Arabidopsis thaliana: one gene and its partners. The protein of the gene in region 2 interacts with the protein of the main gene of each other region in a pairwise test. Each region holds a gene or a part of one and is shown on either strand. Other genes may lie near its edges.

The links. Proteins that work in one complex are often made in the same cells at the same time.
Region 1: the proteins of AT1G68240 (region 2) and AT2G14760 interact in a two-hybrid assay, tested with the Arabidopsis thaliana proteins (one large-scale study listed by BioGRID).
Region 3: the proteins of AT1G68240 (region 2) and ALC interact in a two-hybrid assay, tested with the Arabidopsis thaliana proteins (one large-scale study listed by BioGRID).

Annotation. Positions count from the first base shown.
Region 1 is NC_003071.7:6,321,052-6,325,136, forward strand, and holds AT2G14760 (basic helix-loop-helix (bHLH) DNA-binding superfamily protein), read right to left. Parts: upstream 2,347-4,085; 5' UTR 2,262-2,346; coding exon 1,785-2,261; intron 1,705-1,784; coding exon 1,423-1,704; coding exon of another isoform or gene 1,408-1,422; exon of another isoform or gene 1,304-1,407; coding exon 1,199-1,303; intron 1,062-1,198; coding exon 996-1,061; intron 885-995; coding exon 789-884; 3' UTR 536-788; downstream 1-535.
Region 2 is NC_003070.9:25,574,304-25,577,716, reverse strand, and holds AT1G68240 (basic helix-loop-helix (bHLH) DNA-binding superfamily protein), read left to right. Parts: upstream 1-1,587; 5' UTR 1,588-1,650; coding exon 1,651-1,881; intron 1,882-1,958; coding exon 1,959-2,027; intron 2,028-2,124; coding exon 2,125-2,190; intron 2,191-2,278; coding exon 2,279-2,431; coding exon of another isoform or gene 2,432-2,437; exon of another isoform or gene 2,438-2,499; coding exon 2,500-2,538; 3' UTR 2,539-2,853; downstream 2,854-3,413. Other genes in the region: AT1G68238 (uncharacterized protein), read right to left, coding at 3,039-3,236. UniProt on the Arabidopsis thaliana protein: Transcription factor involved in somatic embryogenesis. Acts as a positive regulator of somatic embryo formation. Acts as a positive regulator of ECP63 by targeting its promoter and inducing its expression.
Region 3 is NC_003076.8:26,784,571-26,788,451, forward strand, and holds ALC (basic helix-loop-helix (bHLH) DNA-binding superfamily protein), read right to left. Parts: upstream 1,862-3,881; 5' UTR 1,769-1,861; coding exon 1,532-1,768; exon of another isoform or gene 1,420-1,531; coding exon 1,348-1,419; exon of another isoform or gene 1,258-1,347; coding exon 1,192-1,257; coding exon of another isoform or gene 1,114-1,191; coding exon 1,048-1,113; exon of another isoform or gene 954-1,047; coding exon 762-953; 3' UTR 536-761; downstream 1-535. Other genes in the region: ICU2 (DNA-directed DNA polymerase), read left to right, coding at 42-161, 232-306, 394-534; AT5G67120 (RING/U-box superfamily protein), read right to left, coding at 3,260-3,520. UniProt on the Arabidopsis thaliana protein: Required for the dehiscence of fruit, especially for the separation of the valve cells from the replum. Promotes the differentiation of a strip of labile nonlignified cells sandwiched between layers of lignified cells.

The sequences.
Region 1 (4,085 bases), on a different chromosome or scaffold from region 2:
TTGAAAGTAGTTTGGTTGGGTTAGACCCATATCTAATTTTAATTTTGTTAAGTAGATGAGATGACATAGAAAAATGGTAAGCTTTTATTGGTCAACGTAAATAAGGTGTATTAATCGAAATGTTCTGATTGGTTGTTGATTTTAATGAGGTGTCATGCTGAGAACACTTAAAAAAGCTGATGTGTCAGCGCATGAGAGACTTTTAGAGTTTTTATGTTGTTGATAAGTTTTAATTTCAAAAGATATTTTACTAATCAATCTTAGGGTTTGGGAACTCATTCATCTTATATACCAAGTTCTGAAACAATGTCAAATCATTGACCAACCTGTCGGCTCTTCCTGCCTTCAACTTTTGACCTTGTCACGTCTTTGAACGCAAGATCAAATTAGATATAACAAAATTCGATTTTTGAACGCAATATCAGAAATATAATTAAAGTCCCAAATTGTATCCTATGAGTATAAAATTCTCAAGCATACAATCCAAAGATATTGAACGCTTAGTATTAATTTAAATTCTGATTACATCATTTACGTGTATGACGTAAACGAATCAAATAATTCAAACAAAAAAAAGAGATAAAATAAACGAATCCATTATCAAAACGATGATCGTACACCAATATATATCTCAAGAATCAAAAAAATTGTTGGACATAACTCGACATACAAATATAAAATAATATTTAGAGTATAAAACGTCAAAATGTGACTCTTCATATCTCTAGTATTAAATTATATATATATATATAAATAAATAGAATTAAAATCCGAAGGTGTCTCTTGAATCATCTGGTCAGTGCATTGAGTTTTAGGTCAAGGCCAATGTCCATTCCGTTGTAAGCAATAGGCGCATACATCCATAGATCATCAGAGCTCAATAACTGTATAACATAACATTATTCATTATAACCAATATTTAATTCTCTATCTTTAATTGATACAATATTTTCTATGGTTTAATTTATATTATAAGCATTGAGAACCTAACGTACCTTAATTTGGAGCTGTAGAAATTTGACGTATTGTACTGCTTCTTCCAACATCGTGCTAATATCAACCTGATACATACATATTTAACACATTTAATTTACTTAGTAATCATGAAACGAAATGAGTAAAAAGTGATGTGGTTACGTAGTAATAAATAAGTTTGCATGGAAAAAAAAAGGTTTGCATGAATGAAAGACATATGTACCTTTGTTCCATTAGGGACGAGATGTTGCAAAATCCTTAGCCTCTCGTTTATCCTCTCTCTTCTTTTCTGCACCATCATACAATGGACTTTGTTTAATTGTTTCAGCTATCATAATAAATTTTGTTATGTTTGTACAATGCATATACATAAGACTCATCATCACATTTGTGTACATGTTTGAATAACATCGAAGCCTTAATTTTTAAAGTTTATGTGTAAATTACCCTTGCGTAAAGGCTTTGAGGATCTGTGGCCGCGCCGCGGCTGGCCCTAGTCTTGCCGTTGAGGTTGAGAGCCTTAGAGTCCTCGCCATCTTCTTTGGACAAGAAAGTGTCTCCACCGTTTGATTCGTCATCCGAACAACAAGTCTTTTGCGGCTTAAGTGGTTTGGTCTTTCTCTTCCCCGCAGCCTTCTCCGTATATTCTTCTTCGCCGCTATTTTCATTTTCGCCACTCATCTCTACGCATTTCTGGCTCCTTCGTGCCTTGTTGGCTCTCTTGTTCTTCTGATTTGGTTTCAAGAACATTAAAATATTTAGAATTATGGTTTCGGCTGAAAAAAAAAAAAAACGTTTGTACAACTTACATCAGTTGTTGTGGCACGCGTCCTCTTCTTTGAACTCTCACATTGGTTGAACATTTTCTCATCAGTGGTCGTGGTCAAGGAGTTCTCAGGCTGTAGCATACTATGGTCGTGGTTTTCTGCGACAGTCTCCAAAGGCAAGAGGCTTTTACCGGAGTATTCCGTCGCATCACATTCACTTGTCTCTTCACCAACAAGGTACAAGTTCGTGTTGATTGTCGCGTCCTCCATCCCATTGTTATCTTCTTCTTGCCGTGGCATCGCCGCGCAGTAACCACTATAACTACTGCTCTCCTGAGAGAAGCAAAAGCCACCATTCCATTGAGAACCCTGGTGGTGGTAGGCCGTGAGTGTGGCGGTTGTCTCTGAAGATGAACCGCCACAAGGTTGCTCATAGGAGGCAAGGAGCTGATTCATAAAGTCAGCTTCCTCTGTATATATTCCGCCTAGGCCGGTGCTCCATTCTCCCATGGCTTCCATTTTTGATCACTAAGCGACTTTAACAATAGACTAATTAATCTTAATTAAAATCCGATAAGTAATGTGAGAGTATTGAAGGAATGATTGAGAGGAGTTTGATGTGTGTATTATATATAGGATCATGAGAAGTAATGGATATAATTAAATGTCAACCAATAAAACATTATAACCATCTTTAGAATAAAGTATTTTTTTGGGTAACCAGGTCTTGATACCCATAGATATGAACAGCTAATTATAGAGCTTAAAGAAAGCTTTGTCTTTCTCTATATCTGTTAAGCATGAGTTAAAATCTGTATTTAGTCATTGGTAATTCAATACAAAAAGAAGAGGATCAGACCTATACAAATCCTTGGAGGGGAGATAAATCCAGGTTCAACTGTATCTATTATGTTAATAATATAGAGTTGTGAAGAAAATAATGAATGTAAGGAAAAGGTACAACTAGGAAAAAATATAATTGTGATGTATCAATCCCAAAACCAGGGACTTATACATATGTTTAATTTATAATTGATGTATAGAAGACCTTTGCATTTGAGGATTTGTTTGAGCAAGTCTAAAATATGAAAAACAATCTCTTTCTAGTTACAGTCGCTATGATTGGTTCAAGTTCTTAAAAAAACGGTTAACAATTTGTTTTAGTGGTTGGAGGAAACGGTTAGAGAATACCAAGTTGAAAAATAAAACATAATATCAAAAACAAACATGACAAAGAAGACTCAAATAACAAAAATAATCTTATACCAAAATATGTTTACACTTTTAGTGGTACAAAAATTTGTTGGGTTTCAAAGTAACAAAATATCATAGATTTGTCAAGTTGTGACGTGAGTATATATTGTTATGAATGTAAGAAAAAAAATAACTAGGAGAATTATCATTGTGATGTATCGATCCCAAAAGCATGGACTTATACGGATGTTTAATTCATAATTGGTGTATATATAGAATACCTTTGCATTTAAGGATTTGTTTGAGCAAGTCTACAAGAAGAAAACAATTCTCTTACTAGTTACGGTCGTTGTGGTGAAAGCAGTTAGAAAATTAAGTTGACAAAAAACAATCCGATAACATAAAAAAAAAAAAAAAAAACAATAAGACAATCTTATATTGTTGGCTTTACACTTTTGCTAGTCTTAAATTTTGTTCGGACTTAAAATTACAGAATATCGTTGATCTATCAAGTGCGAAGTGACTATATTGGTATGCAAGAGCCGGATCATGGCCGAGGAAAATATATATCCCTTCATTATACCAACTTTGAAAGATGGAATGTTGATGCATGCAAATATCTTGAGAAGCTATAATCCAATAGACATGTTAACCAAGGTCATCATGTATGATAAGATAAGGAAATGTGCAATTTTATTCGGATTTTTAGCTAATGTAAGGTAATGTGCTTGTCTATAGACTAAGGATCGAAGTCATTAGTCTATAGACTTGCAAATTTTGCAAACTTCTTGTTGGTGAGCATTGGAAAATTTATGGAGCCTCTATCTTTATTTTCTTTATGTTATCTTAGTTTTAATTTGTATGAACTTCTCTCGTTTAAAGTTTAATAGTGAATGAAAGTTGTTTGACAAAAAAAAAGGATCGAAGTCATTAATCCTCCAATTAGAGAAAAATGATTACTATTTTGTTCATGTAAATACTTAATATATAGTCTACCACTTTGAATAAGTTCCATCCATAAATTTGAGTGAGTTCGAACAAGAGTTTTTAAATAAGTCTAATGTTTTCAGGGGAACGAAAATGAGAGGTGTGAAGGGGAGAAATGAGAATGAGAGACTCGGTTGTTGAACGTGACAGTTATTGTTGATA
Region 2 (3,413 bases):
TAAAATAAAATAAATAATATAAATATTATTATTTTGGCAAAAAAACTATATTAATATTGTTTTAAAGAAAAAAAACTTTGTAGCTAAAATGATAAACATATATAAGTGATTTTTTTTAACTTACATATCTCGTTAACGTTTTTTTGTTTTTTCGTTAACGTTTATAATTTGTAAGAAAGATTTAAAAATGAAATATTTTCATAAATATTTAAATATTAGATATTTGATCCGCGGTTTGGGCCTGTAGAGAATCTTAAATTCATTTTTTTTTTCTGTTTTTATTTTCAATCTTTGAGCAAAACAAATAGTTAATGATGTTATAGATTCAATTGTTTAACAAAAACTAACTTAAGAAATTAATTTAATTGAATGATTTTTTTTATAACTAAATTGAATGATATTGCAAATATCTATTTACAACATTAAATATATTTGTTACTATAATGATGTTAGTGTAAAAAATATATTCATTGTTGCACCCAAAACATTCATAATTAAATGTTAGTTTTAAACTTGGCAATCGAAATTTTATATTATTTTTCTTTCAAATCGCTCATATGATGGCAGGTTAACCAAATATGTTTTGCTTGTCCGTTTTTTTTTTCTATCTGTCTCCAATTGTTCAAATAATATATACGAGATATTGAAGAAATGGTTGAGAGAAAAAAATGAAATGGTTGAGAGAAAAAAATGAAATGGTTGAGGTTTATTTAAGAAGGAGAAGTAACGAGAGTGTGCATGTATCCACAAATAACCCAAATTAAAATAGTACATCTAGCTATAAAAAACGTCCCGTCTCAATGAAGTAATCAGACGACGGTCTTATGTATTTGGGTCGATGGCGAAGCTATTCGATAGAGAGTTCAAGATCTCTGATCAGCACATGTTTATATGAAAGATTTTGGTGCATGACTCCTTAAAATATGTATGAGTATTGAAGAGACACGTAACTCGATAAATATATGCAAACGTACGTTCTAAATATCACATCAGAAGCTAGCTTGCACAGTGTTACAAGCCGGTCAAAACAAATTTCTGACTAGAAACATTTTCTTGCCCTTGCATGGACATGTCCATGCATGTTGTTGATATAATAGAAAGTTTATCTTGTTCTCAATCAAAATAAATAATTCTTAAATATTGAAATATGTCATTTTTGTTCGAACTTGTAATAGGAGTTTTACAGTTCTCTTTTCCAACTAGATAATGTTTTTCCAATTTTAATGCAATTTGTTGTATCCATAGCTAGCTTGAGAAGAAAAATAAAATACTAAAGATTAAGAACTGCCGTTCATGAACAAGAATGACACTATTCCCCTGCCGTTCTTAGAATTTCAAGAAAGAGCAAGAAAGCAAATATAAGAAAACAACAAAAATATATGTTTTCTTCTGTCTAATGGATGTGCGTAAATGTGGAACACATAAATATAATAATATAATGGAAAATGAGTAAATAAATTGTTAGAGAAAACCATGGGACGAAGCAAAATCATCTTCTTTGCTTCCCGCTCAATTGTTGGAACTTTCAAAAGAAGCTTCTTGTATCTCCCCTATATATATATAGCTTATGGCTGAACTAACTAGTTTATCCTTAACCCTCCACTTTTCACTCTTTAACAAACTCAAAATCCTCAATTTAGTCAATCATCAATGGAGAGAAACAACCGCAACGAGGGGACTCACGAAGAAGAGCAATGTTCGCTTTCTGATATTATTTATTCGTTTTGTTCAGAAAATCATAGTGAATTAAACCCTTTGCAAGAGATATTCGGTGTTACCAAAAACAATGATCATGAGAAACACGACGAGGAGCCAGACGAGGAAAGTTACCGTATGGCTAAACGGCAACGTTCCATGGAATATCGTATGATGATGGAGAAGGTGAAGATGACTTAATCTCCTTCTTCTCTTACGTGATTCCCTAGCTAATTTATATTTTTGCTTTCTAAACTTTGTAGAAAAGACGAAAGGAGATCAAAGATAAAGTAGATATTTTGCAGGGGTTGATGCCTAATCATTGCACAAAGGTTAACTATTACTTAATTTACTCCATATTTTTTATATATTAGAGTCTAATACAATATCAAGTTTCGAATATCGAGTTTCTTGTGTGTTTATCTACAGCCGGACCTTGCATCGAAGCTTGAAAACATCATTGAATACATTAAAAGTTTGAAATATCAAGTAGATGTAAGCATTAAACTATATCTAATTTAATTTAGTTACTTGTATCCATTAGAGTATATATGTTCTTATGTGTTATGTGGATGTGGTCCAGGTTATGTCAATGGCATACACAACAACTCCGGTTTACACACCACCATTTTATGCAGCAGCTCAAGCACCATGTATGTCTCCTTGGGGCTATTATACGCCAGGAGTTCCAATGATGCCTCAGCAAAACATGACCTATATCCCGCAATATCCTCAGGTTTGATCAAATTAAAGTTTAATCTGATTCCACAGATTCTGATTTCTGCCATCAATCTTTTATCACAGGTATATGGAACAGTGCCGCCAAATCAAACTCAACCTTAAAACAAGCTCTAGCTATGTGGCTTTTTAAGACCCTCCGGCTTTAGACTCGTTGCTGTTTATATAGACTGTCTTTGTAAACTAAGATATGTACATAGATACATAAATACATACGTAGTTTTATGTATAACTTTTAGTTTGATGCCACAATATGTAAAAACACCTGTTTTTTATGTTCTGTTTTGGTTGAGCATTGTTCCTCTGTTATTTATGTTCTGTTTTGCTCAACCTTTTTCTTTGTTGAATGTAAGTTAAATAAACAACAAAGATGTTATGTTACGTGTAATAGTACGTTTGTACCAAACATTACTACAACCCTAGTTTGATAATTTTTATCTTGAATCATAGAAAACGAACTAGATCACTAAAATGTTAAATTCAAGAAGCAGAATACATTCATTGGCTACAAATTATCTACACACTTTAACTTTTTTTATTAAAGCAAGAAGCCAAAATAGTTTTATCTTTAAATGTTACTAAAGTAAACAAAAAATGCTTCCCGTTTAACCTCCACAACCACCACCGCAGCCAGCGGCGCAACTGGATCCATTGACATCGTCGTTAGTGTGAGGTTTAGAAGCTCGGTCACTGCATGAGAAAATCACGGCTGCTATGACGGAGAAAGCCACAACAGCTGCCCAAATGTAGAGTGAGACTTCACCATTACCCGCCGCTATTACCGCGAGTTCTCCTCTCACCATTGAAAGAGTTTTTGTGCATCGCTTTGTGACAATTGTTGAGACTAGTTGATAAAGAGAGTTGTAATTGGCATATTTTCAAATGTGTGGTTTTGCGTTTTCGAGTCAGAAGTCACCAAAAAAAAGATGCGACGACTCTTTCTTATATATACTGCCCTTTGGTTTAACTCTAGGGTCAGT
Region 3 (3,881 bases), on a different chromosome or scaffold from region 2:
TTTATGCTAAGACGTTTTCTTGTACATTTTGCCTTCAACAGTGTGAAGACGAGTCATGCAAGCACACAACCCGCTCCCCCAACTTTCGTCTACTCGGTGAACGTGAACGGGGGACAGTTTGCCCAAACTATCCTAACTGTAACGGAACCCTCTTACGAAAGGTATATACCATCATCAACCTTATAACTCCTATCTCTCTATTGCTTCACAGACTAACTCTTGACTTTACAGTACACTGAAGCAGACTTGTACAAGCAACTGTCATACTTCTGCCACATCTTAGACACACAATGCTCTTTAGAAAAGGTTTCTACTTTACAACCTTGTTATATTATTAATATCAATTTGTCTTGTCTATATCCCTAAAGTTATCGGTACCATTTGAAATAACAGATGGATGTTGGCGTGAGAATTCAAGTAGAGAAAGCAATGACGAAGATAAGACCTGCGGTTAAGTCAGCAGCAGCAATCACTCGAAGTAGTAGAGACCGGTGTGCTTATGGATGGATGCAACTCACAGACATAGTCATTTGATAGTTGTAATAATCATCTCATATGTAAGTAAATTAGTCTTTTATATATAATCTGCTTCAGACATCATTATAATCAAACTACTCAGATTTTGTTCACTCCTAAAGCTTATTAGCATAACTATAACTGAACATAGAAATCTGGCCAATGCTAAAACTCAAAACATTGTTCACTCCTGTCTGGCAGGTACTAGAGGAATTCCGATCATCATCATTGTCTGAATGTTATCTTCAAAGCAGAGTGGCTGTGGAAAAGCACATTCCTTGACTTGTTTTAGCTGGTTCCAGCGAGTGAGGAGCAGCGAGAAGAGTCTCTAGGTTCAGGTCTTGCTCTAAGGTCTCATTGATCCTTGTATGAGTTGGAGGTGGAACCTGTGGTAATCGCATAGGGTTTAAGCCTAAACCATTCATAACGGCTAAAGTCTGCATCATGCAGTAAATCAAGTTAATGATCTGAGTGATGTAATTTACAAATCAGACTTTGAACGTATATAATCATAGTAAGTAGGAAAAAAACCTGGACTTGAAGTTGAAGCTGCTTCAGATATTCTATAGCTTCATCAAGCATTGAGGCTTTATCAGTCTATAAACAAACAAAAGATAACGGATCAATCAGAACAATGTTTCTCACTATCTCTGATTCGAACAAAGATTGATTAACCTTGTTGGAATTGGGAATGAGTTTCTGCAAAGCTTTCATTTTCTCGTTGATCTTGCTCCTCCTCTTCTGCTAACACTCAGATTCTAATCAACTACAATCTCAAGGTTCTTCTTCTTTCTAAATTAAGAATCTTAAAAGGAAGATAAAAGAGAAAACCTTTTCAGACAAGTTGTGGAATTGAGCATCAATGTTTCTCTTCAACGAATTTCTCTGTTTAGCTCCACTTCTCTTTAGTGTTTAGCCATTCCAAAAAGAAAAGAGACTAATTTTGGTTTTTGTTTTCTTTTACAAGGAAAGCCAAGTGAAGCATCTCTGCAGCTAAGAATAGTTAAGTTTATACCTTGTGTTCGAAAGCATATTTGTCTTGGCCAGTTTCAGAGACTCCATAACCGACGGAAGAAACAGCTCCGCCGGAAACGGAAGGGAAGAAGGTCTCAGCGGAGGAAACATTAGTACTCTTCGGTGGTGAAGAAGGTTGAGCTGTAGGAGTACGGGAAAGAATCTGTCGGAGAAAGCTCGAGAGTTCGTCGGAAGAAGATGGAGGGGGAAGACGATCACCGACGTCAGAATCACCCATCTCTCTCTCTCTCTCTCTCTCTGCTCTACTCTGTGTGTAAAAATTATCACTGTGGCTTTTTCGTAGTAAAGCTTATAGGCGGGGGAGGTAGGACGCGTGAGATCACGTTCTTCAGAGAAGCGCGTGGAGGTTCTAAAAGAGGCGAGTGGCGTGTCGAATCCCTATAGACAGAATCTGGTGTCTCACATCACTCTGTGTGTGAACAGTTTCCTTTTGTAGCAATTTTATTTAATAATATTATATTTTTTACCTAATAAAAAAAAGGAAAAAAGCATTTTTGGACCACCAAGTAAATAAAAAACATACATTTTTATTGTTTTTTTCAATGTGATAAGTTAAATTGAGAGGAGGGGATGAAATTATGAAAATCAGTAAATGAAACGGTTGAAAAAATAAGAGTATTGATAAGATAGAGCATTGATAGACTATTTAATTATTATTATGACTAAACATGAAAATGGACAATTACTTGAAAAGTAAGGTCTCGCAACAGTTTCACCATTTTTGACAAATTACAAAAATCTATTTTTTCCTTCTTTTTTGTTGTTGTTGTTGTCCACAGATAAAGTGTGAATAAAACTGCATGCATTTCGAAAGATTATTTATTCGAGAGATTATTTAACACAAAATAAAATTCAGATATTATAATGGTCAATACAAAGACGATAACATGTCCTTGATCATTAGCCTTTTTTTAATGCATCCAAAGGGAAATATATATAATATAGTAATTAAAATAATTATGGTTCATAGCAAAAATAAGAATAACTAGATTTTAACCCGCGGTATACCGCGAAAACAATTTATTTTTTAAATTAATATATATAAAAGTTTGTAAATTGTATCTATCTATAAAATATTTTTATTGTATAGTTTACAATTGTTATTAAGTAACGTCCTGCCAAACCCGTCCCGCCAACCCGTCCTCTAAAAAAACTCATTTATTTTATGAATGTGATCTTATTTATGATATGTTTATGAATTATTGTCTAAATATTTTGTAATTTTGTAGTAATTAAATGTTATCAAATATCTCTACGGTTTGATGATTATAATCATGCAGAAAAGCAATATCAAAAATGATAATTTTGTAGTAATTAAATGATATTAAATATTTTAGAAGTTTTATTTTAGTAATTAATCGTGTAGTTAAGGTAGAGAGATTTTGGAAAGATTGTTAAATGTCAAATATTTAATTAGAAGATTTTCTTTCTAATTATCAAAAACAATTATTAAATGCCAATGACAGCCGCTGTAAATAAATCCCAACTCCAGAATTTATTTCACAAAGTGGCTGCAAAAATATATATATAGATGATAATAATCAAAATCAGAAATCAAATCAAAATCCAACTTGCCATCTAAATAAATGGAATCTTTCTAACTTGATAAAAAGGGAAATATTGGTAATTATGGTTCATAGCAAAAGAAAGAAACAAAAAAACTGAAATCCAACGAGATAAACGGAATCTTTCAAACTTGATAAAACATTTAAACGACTTCTCGGTTGCAAAGAGGACACTTGTTCGTGACCATTAGCCAATTCTTGATGCATCCGAAGTGAAAGTCATGCCCACATCCCAGTTTCGAAACTTCTTCATTGTCCTTCAATTTCTGCTGACAGATCACACATCTCTTCGTTTCATCGTCGCTACGCTTTTCATATTTCCTTCTTATTAGATTCTCATCAATCACTTCCTCGCTTAAACCAGTGCGTTCATCTCCTGTTTCGTCAGTGATGCTCAATAATTCCTAGAAAAAAAAAGATTCATTCATAAAATTATCGATATCTAAACTCTGCAGCTTATACAACTCTAGAATCAAGAAACCAAAATGGTACATATAATTTTTATTAAAGAGAGTCCTAATCTCTTCTACATCTAGGATTCAAATGCACTTCTTTGAAAACTACACATGCAACCGACTAGTTAACCAATACTGGAAGCATTAAATTTTCAATGTTATCTTGCAAAAAACTCTAAAGTGCTAACTTCTAAGATACAATGTTCATAACAAATGAAAAAATGGTGAAGGCTTTCAAATGTGATGTAAACACTTTAGTAGTTTTTGAAGATATTTGCATATCAAAACTTAATCTAGTCTAGTTATAACA